2 linked regions of the Xenopus tropicalis genome follow. Each later gene encodes a partner of the first gene's protein in a complex. Links are inferred from orthologs where the notes say so. Each region holds a gene or a part of one and is shown on either strand. Other genes may lie near its edges. The genes, in order: sympk and ssu72.

Region 1 (3,822 bases):
CAACTTTGGACTAACATTTTTGGAAGTCTCTTTGTTTCTTGCATCTTTGTCACAGTGTAATTTCTATATCTCCTTGCTTCCTTTTCTTATTGACTGATCTTTCCTGCAGTGGGTTGCTCGCTCCCGCCCTCCATCTGAGCAACAAGAATCCTGCTGGGACCTTGTAACTGAGATGGCTGCAGACATCCTCCTCTTGTTGGAATCGGATAATGATGGCATCCGCACTCATGCAGTAAAGTTTGTAGAAAGTTTGATTGTCACCTTGTCTCCTCGTACCCCTGACAGTGAAGTTCCAAAAAGACAAGAAGGGGACATCAGCCTAGAGCAGATCCCTTCTGACCATGCATTCCTTAAATATAGTGAGTTTATCAATAACTTTTGTCTCTTATGACCCTTTAGCATATATTTTTCTCCTACATTCTCCTTGCCCTTTATTCTTCAGATACACTGCGAGATGTAGGAAAACAGGCTGTGAAGGAACTTCTAAAGTTTATGGCTCACCCTGCTATCTCCAGCATCAACCTTACAGCAGCCCTTGGATCTTTAGCATCGATTGCTCGACAGAGGCCGATGTTTATGGCAGAAGTTATCCAGGCTTATGAGACCCTGCATGGTACGGAAAAACATTGCATGCCCTATTCTAGACTTTAAATTCTCTAATCCCTAAATATTTAAGGCAACTTTATAAAAGTAGTGCTTCCTAGTAATACTGTGACCATGTGTAATATCTGAATCATCATACTTTTAATTTGCCATCCTGTAACCTCTCTCCTCACCTCTACAGCCAACCTACCCCCTACACTAGCAAAGTCCCAAGTGAGCAGTGTGCGTAAAAATCTCAAACTGCAGCTATTGAGTGTACTGCGTCATTCATCATCTTATGAGTACCAGGGGCCTATAAGTACTCTCCTGTTAGACTTGGGTACTAGCCAGGGAGAGATAACCAGACATCTTCCTCCGCCAAGGGACAGCAACCGGAAAAGGGCCAGGGAAGATGGTGAAGGGGGACAAAAGAAGAGCCGCACTGGTAAGATTAATGTTATTGTCAAAACAATACAGTAAAAATAAGTGTTTTTTGTTAGAACAATACAGTGGTGTTAAAAATTGCTTAGGGCAAACAGGTACAAAGCATAAAGATCGACTTTATCCAACATATCACAAGTCTCTCCTTTATATGCAGACATTCCACTGCCTGATGACGATGATGATAAAGACACAATACAGCTTCCCACCATTCCTGCTCCTGCACCAAGCACGCAGTCGGCTACAGACATCACAGCTGAATTCCTGCGCCCACTGCTTTCCCCAGAGAATGTGGCAAACCTGGTTAGTGTAACATTTAAAGTCATTGTGTATTAGATTCCAAGGATGTAGCGATCAGGGATTCAAATGCTCTTGCATGGTTGCATTTACTGGACAAAATAATCTTTTAGGGTGAAAGTACACAGAGCTACTTAGTAGCAGCTATTGTCAGGGCTTCTAAACACCAGAAAATATCCTGCCATAGACAATACTGAGAATTGCCTCTGCTAAAAAACACGTAGAGACCAGTCAGTAAATGATCTGCATTGTCTATTTTTGTACAAGCTGCTACTAGTAGCTCTGTGTGTCTTTATCCTTATATTCTAACTTACAATATAGAGTTTATCTATACAGATATTAAGGTTGTTTTCCCTAAGTATTAAGTGAAGAAAAAAGTACAGTACATTTTTTTTAGTTTAAGTGCCATTTAGAAAACTGTGCAAGCTTCTCTAGATTTCCAACAGTATATTAACATGCATTAAGTATATGTTTTAGATTTGTAATGTAAAGCTTGCCTTGTTACTCAAAGCTTGTTTTTCTCTCATATATATCTTCTACACCGTGGTTTGTTAAGACATACAATACTGAATCTTCAGTTAAAGGGAAAATGGGTTAACTTGCAGTCAATTTTCCTATATATTTATTCAGCAGCAGATAAGGCTGATGGCCTGATGGATCTCTGCTACTGCGGGCAACCCCTCTGAAAGCCTATACGTTGCTTTGGCTTTCCGAAGTTTCCTTCTGCAGACATTTTTGCACGACTTAAGAATGCCGAATCAATGCGTGGGCCTTTCAACCGGCGACTCCTATTGTTGCCGGTGAAAAGGCATTTTTGAACGGTTATTTGTCCGCATTAGCAGCGATTGATTGCGGGAGACTAACTGGCTCGGTGGGCCATCAGCTTTAAGGTTCACACATTTTGTTTACGAGGAAGACATCTATAATTATTGATGCTCACCTTTGGGCTGCTATCAGTGCATTGATTCTCCCCCCCATTTGATCTGTCAAAGCTGTGAGTAGCTCAGTGCAGTAGAGCATAATTTATTTTTTATTTTAACTTTGTACATAATTAAACAACAGAAAGTAGTTTTATCCAATATTTGTTCATCAGAAAAATATTTAAAAAAAATTAAAGAATGAAAAAGAATATTGATAACAGGTATCCAGTGAAGTCTTTTATTGTATTGGTAATATCAATATAAACTTTCCTGCTTTTAAAGTTTTTCTAAAACCCTGCTTGTAGAGGTAGAGAATATGGCCTCTGTCTGCACACTTTTGTTATCTGAAATTTGTTTCTCCTGTACTCTAATGAATGATGGCTTTTACAGACCTCATTCTGGTCCTCGGTATCCTTGTGAACAAACTTTAAAGGAATGCTGTCATGGGAAAACATGTTTATTTTAAAAATGCATCAGTTTATAGAGCTTCTCCTTGCACATAGCGCTCAGGCCAAATTTAACTAAGGACCCCACAGTGTTATTGACCTATTGTGCCAGCTGAAAGCACAGGGCATCAGAATTGCATTAAATAGAAATTTCTTTGTTAACTTTATATAAATGGTTACCTTTTTTAGACTTAAGTTGGAAATGTTGTTGAACTCTTTTTCCTACCTATTTATTGTGCTTAGGTGCTCATCAGTATGGTGTATCTACCGGATTCCATGCCTGCCTCCTTCCAGGCCACTTACACTCCAGTTGAGTCAGCTGGGACTGACGCCCAGATTCGCCATCTTGCTAGACTCATGGCTACACAAATGACATCAGTTGGCATTGGTCCAGGTACATTGTAGTTAATAAAAGTTAATATGGCACAAATCATATTGATAGAAAAACATGTTTAAAAGTGCTAACTGAAAATTTAAGAAAATGTAAAAGTTAAGAAGATTTAAGAAAAACTGTTTTTTTTTTACCTTGCATCACATATCTATCTCTGAAATTTTCTGAAACACAACACCAGGGGTTGAGCAGACAAAAGATGTTCCAGTGGATGTAGTGGAGGAAGAGAACACCAAGCCTGAGGGGTTGGTGATCAAACGCCGGATTTCTGCACTTACCAAGGGACAGGCTATATCTGTTTTGGGATGTCAGAGTGAGAAGGCTAAAGAAGAAGAGGAGGAGGAAGATGCTCCACTTGCCAAGAAGCGGCCTGAACCTATACTACCAGCAACTCAGATCAGGTAAAAGCTTACAAACTTTTGTAGCTTAATGTAATATATAATCTTAATAGTAATGAAGTGCTAATTTGACTTCAGCATGTGGAAACTAGAGAGCTGTGAGTGGATCCACACACCACCCTAACACACACATTTGCCCTCTTGTACTTGCAAACATACATTTAACCTGCTACCTTTGTCACCCATTGCCTGACCCAAAATACATATTTGTCCTTTATGTGTTTTATAATTCTTAACACACCTTTACTTAGCATGCAGCTCACAACACTGTCATTCTCATTTATTCTAGGCCTTCTGGTGTTGGAGGTCGTAAGAAGGTATTTAGGTTGAAGGAAGTCACAGAGCCA
Region 2 (3,822 bases), on another chromosome or scaffold:
CTTTATTGGCTAGGTGGCCCATCACGTGTGAAATTAGACTAAACCAACTCTGCCCACCTGTTGCTTGCTTGACTGCTGGCGAGTGCCTGCTTCCTTTTTATAGTTGTATTACTTTTCCATTAGCATCTTCTCCTTCAAACATTTTCTTCTTGGCAATTGAAACTAGAACTTATTGGTCTGCTGAAAGAATGTGTCTATGCTTAAAGGGGTTGTTCACCTTTGAGTTAACTGTTGGTCTCAGAATATTACTCTATGTTCATCATACTATTTGCAATTGGTTTTTATTTTTTATATTTTTGTTTTAATTATTTCACTTTTTGTTCAAACAAAAGGAATTCTGGGAATGAATTCCAAAACTCTTAAAAAAATCCCATTAACATGGGTTTATCCTATAGGCTACAGCTCACCCACTGGGTTTAAAGCTGAAGCCAGGATAATAGCTGATCAGATTCCCAACTACAGACTGGTTTCACCTTTCTTTGAGGCTCATCAGTGTAGTGCAGGGTTTTCTGATCAGCTTAGGTAGAGTCACCATGTGGTTCTACAAACAAATAAATAAGGTTGAGGAGACTGCCTCATACAGACAAAAGCAAACAAAATTAATTCTGGGAAAAAAATTCCATTTACATGGGTTTATCCTATGAACAACTCTCCAGTCTGGAATTTCAGCAGGTATCTGCTTAGCAACCAGGCAATAGTTTGAAAGAAAGACAGAAACATGGCTGGAGGAGGGCCTAAATAGAAAGATAAGTAACAAAAAGTAAAAATAATTGTAACCTCACAGACAAATCATTAAGGTTGAGGAGACTGCCTCATACAGATACAAGTAAACAAAAGGAATTCTGGGAATGAATTCCAAACTCCTAAAAAAAAAAATCCCATTTACAGAGCAATAGATTTTTGGCTGCTGGCATCCGTCACCCGTCGATTAGGAACTAAAGGAATGCAGCTGCTATTCACTTCCCATATGTAATAGGAACAACAGCTTTGGTCACCCTGTGTATGGCCACTTCTTTAGTATGCAACAGTTCGGCCCATGGGGCTAGCTCTCTTCATGGTAGTGTTAGTGGTAGCAGAACAATGCAGCCACATATCTTTACTCCCATACATGTCCGTGGCACAGGCTATAATGATGATTCTGGCTTGACATTACACCTCTTTATTTCCACTGTAGTGAATGCTTTTCATTTGTAACAAATTATTCCTTGCTGTACCTTGGATCCTTTATTGTACTCAAATAATAATTGGCTTTATTTATTTAATGACCTTTATTAGGGCGAAGACACACTGGGCTACTAGTAGCAGCTACTTTTTCAAGGCTACAAAACTCCAGAAAATCCCCTGCCATATAGACAATACTGAGAATTGCCACTGCTAAAACAGACATAGAGACAATTACAAGTAAATGATCAGCATTGTCTTTTTTTAGTAGCCATGACAAGTAGCTGATACTAGTAGCTCTGTGTGTCTTCACCCTTAGTCTTTTTAGTCTTCAGGATGAGCAACAGGTTACTTCCATATAGCTGAAAGTAAGCCATAGCCAGTGATTTATAATATTATTTGTGTGGCTGCTCTTATTTTAGGAAAGGGAAAACAGGCTTCTTAGGGGTAGTAGTGGCAAATAAAATGACTTGTGTTCGGTAATCTATGTTCTTTGGCTGCATAGATGATTGATGGAAATGATGTCTGTTTACCCTGTTCTTTATATATCCATGGGGTAGCAATATGTATTCCTGGACAGGTCCCAAATACAAAAAAAACACATTTTTTTGTACTGTGCATATTTTCTGCAACCTTTTTGTACATTTGCACATCTTTTTTGTACATTTGCGCGTCTTTTTCGTACTTTGTGCGACTTTTTCGTACTTTGCGTCAAAATTTGTGCGACAAAATTGTATTGTTGCGCCGAGTACGAAAGTTACAGATTCATTCAAGCTTCGTTATTGTGACTTTCCTTGGGCCAGGTTGGAGCTGCAGAGTGCCATTGAGTCCTATGGGAGACTTTCCTTGGGCCGGGTTGGAGCTGCAGAGTGCCATTGAGCCCTATGGGAGGCTTTCCTTGGGCCAGGTTGGAGCTGCAGAGTGCCATTGAGCCCTATGGGAGACTTTCCTTGGGCCAGGTTGGAGCTGCAGAGTGCCATTGAGCCCTATGGGAGACTTTCCTTGGGCCAGGTTGGAGCTGCAGAGTGCCATTGAGCCCTATGGGAGACTTTCCTTGGGCCAGGTTGGAGCTGCAGAGTGCCATTGAGCCCTATGGGAGGCTTTCCTTGGGCCAGGTTGGAGCTGCAGAGTGCCATTGAGCCCTATGGGAGACTTTCCTTGGGCCAGGTTGGAGCTGCAGAGTGCCATTGAGCCCTATGGGAGACTTTCCTTGGGCCAGGTTGGAGCTGCAGAGTGCCATTGAGCCCTATGGGAGACTTTCCTTGGGCCAGGTTGGAGCTGCAGAGTGCCATTGAGCCCTATGGGAGACTTTCCTTGGGCCAGGTTGGAGCTGCAGAGTGCCATTGAGTCCTATGGGAGGCTTCCAAAAACTTGCACAGAAGGATCAAAGTCAGAAAGGTTTTCCTGCCGTTTATGATCGTTTGGATATGAAAATTTTGTGACTTTCGTATCACCAATACGATATTATAGGGCTAATATGATTTTCTCGTAAGCGTTTTCGTGATATTTGCGATGATCAGAAATTATCGTATCTAATCCGAATTTTACCCATTTCAGGATTCAAACTCTTGCTTTGATGAATGTGCTCCTTAGTGTATTGTGCCTATTCAGTTTCTTATATAATAGAATTGCATGAGTTTAATTGAAGAGATATAACTTTGGACCCATGTGGGAAAGGTTAACGGGGTTTGTGGGATGCTAGTGGGAAGGTTGGGATTGTCACAAGTCCTTACCATGCCCTCTAGGTCTGTGGCTGCTGGTTGAACGGACATTTTATTAATGTTGTTGTTATCTAAGTTTTTGCAGGATTGTGTCGCTGTCACAAACTTTTTTTTTTTTTTTTTTTTTTTTAAATACTACCAACAGCAACTGATAGCTACCATTTCCTAATCTGCATCAAAATCCAACATGGCTGCAGATGTCTGGTTAGAGGTGGAACAAAGACCCAAAAGGATGGAGAACAAATGTTACCAGTGTCTCCAGCCTACTGGGTCTTTACCCCATACCCAATATAATAGTAACAGCAACTCAGAGAGAAGAGCTGTCAGATTCAGTATTGATATGTAATCTGTGGGTGGGAAAGAGAAGGATATATTCTGTTTAGTGGTACTTTGTGGTGTAGACAAAATGTACGCCAAGGCCTGTAATATATGTTCTGCTGTAATAGATTCAATGCGAGTTCCAAAATTCCTTAACATAAATCAATCCAGATATACACAAAATGGTATTTTGCACATGCTGGACAGAAATAGAAGGATCAAACCACGACCTGAGAGATTTCAGAACTGCAAGGACAACTTTGATCTAGTGATTACCTGTGAGGAAAGGGTCTACGATCAAGTAGTAGAAGGTGCGTATCAATCCGGGTTGTATCTCATAAACTGCACATGCAATGTAAGCAGATATTGGCACGCCAGTCAAGATGGGAATCTGTTGGTAAGAGCTAGTAAGCAAGTCCTCCAATGTAATCCTCTAATGTAGATAACTCATCTTCTACTTTTCTTATTCTATCAACTATTTGTTATTCATTTATTAGCTAAAAGGCAAACCTTGTGAGTTTTTATTCACAGAACAAATGTTTAGATTTTTAATGCTAAAGTAGGGATAGCCCAAATTTAGGGCAATGACACACACAGCTGCATGTAGCCAGCAACTTGCTGG

The links.
Region 2: the proteins of sympk (region 1) and ssu72 are in contact, whole or in part, in a crystal structure (PDB 4H3K), measured with the Homo sapiens proteins. The link is inferred for Xenopus tropicalis from reciprocal best matches to the Homo sapiens genes SYMPK and SSU72. Residues at the interface, in NP_004810.2 of Homo sapiens: Val123, Lys127, Leu131, Gln135, Asp175, Asn176, Asp177, Gly178, Thr181, His182, Lys185, Glu188, Pro204, Arg205, Arg206, Gln207, Ser250, Ile251, Thr254, Thr255, Asn262, Ala290, Ser292, Gln293, Ser295, Ser296, Lys299, Asn300, Leu303, His304; in NP_054907.1 of Homo sapiens: Glu113, Tyr116, Asp117, Val120, Asn124, Glu127, Gln128, Glu129, Thr130, Cys131, Gln132, Pro133, His135, Asp167, Glu169, Asn170, Asp173, Gln177, Glu180, Thr186, Phe187, Leu188, His189, Thr190, Val191, Phe193.

Annotation. Positions count from the first base shown.
Region 1 is NC_030684.2:70,988,436-70,992,257, forward strand, and holds part of sympk (symplekin), read left to right. Parts: intron 1-109; coding exon 110-359; intron 360-442; coding exon 443-613; intron 614-784; coding exon 785-1,027; intron 1,028-1,180; coding exon 1,181-1,326; intron 1,327-2,929; coding exon 2,930-3,080; intron 3,081-3,258; coding exon 3,259-3,478; intron 3,479-3,764; coding exon 3,765-3,822. UniProt on the Homo sapiens protein: Scaffold protein that functions as a component of a multimolecular complex involved in histone mRNA 3'-end processing. Specific component of the tight junction (TJ) plaque, but might not be an exclusively junctional component. May have a house-keeping rule.
Region 2 is NC_030683.2:92,446,087-92,449,908, forward strand, and holds part of ssu72 (RNA polymerase II subunit A C-terminal domain phosphatase SSU72), read left to right. Parts: intron 1-3,371; coding exon 3,372-3,511; intron 3,512-3,822. UniProt on the Homo sapiens protein: Protein phosphatase that catalyzes the dephosphorylation of the C-terminal domain of RNA polymerase II. Plays a role in RNA processing and termination. Plays a role in pre-mRNA polyadenylation via its interaction with SYMPK.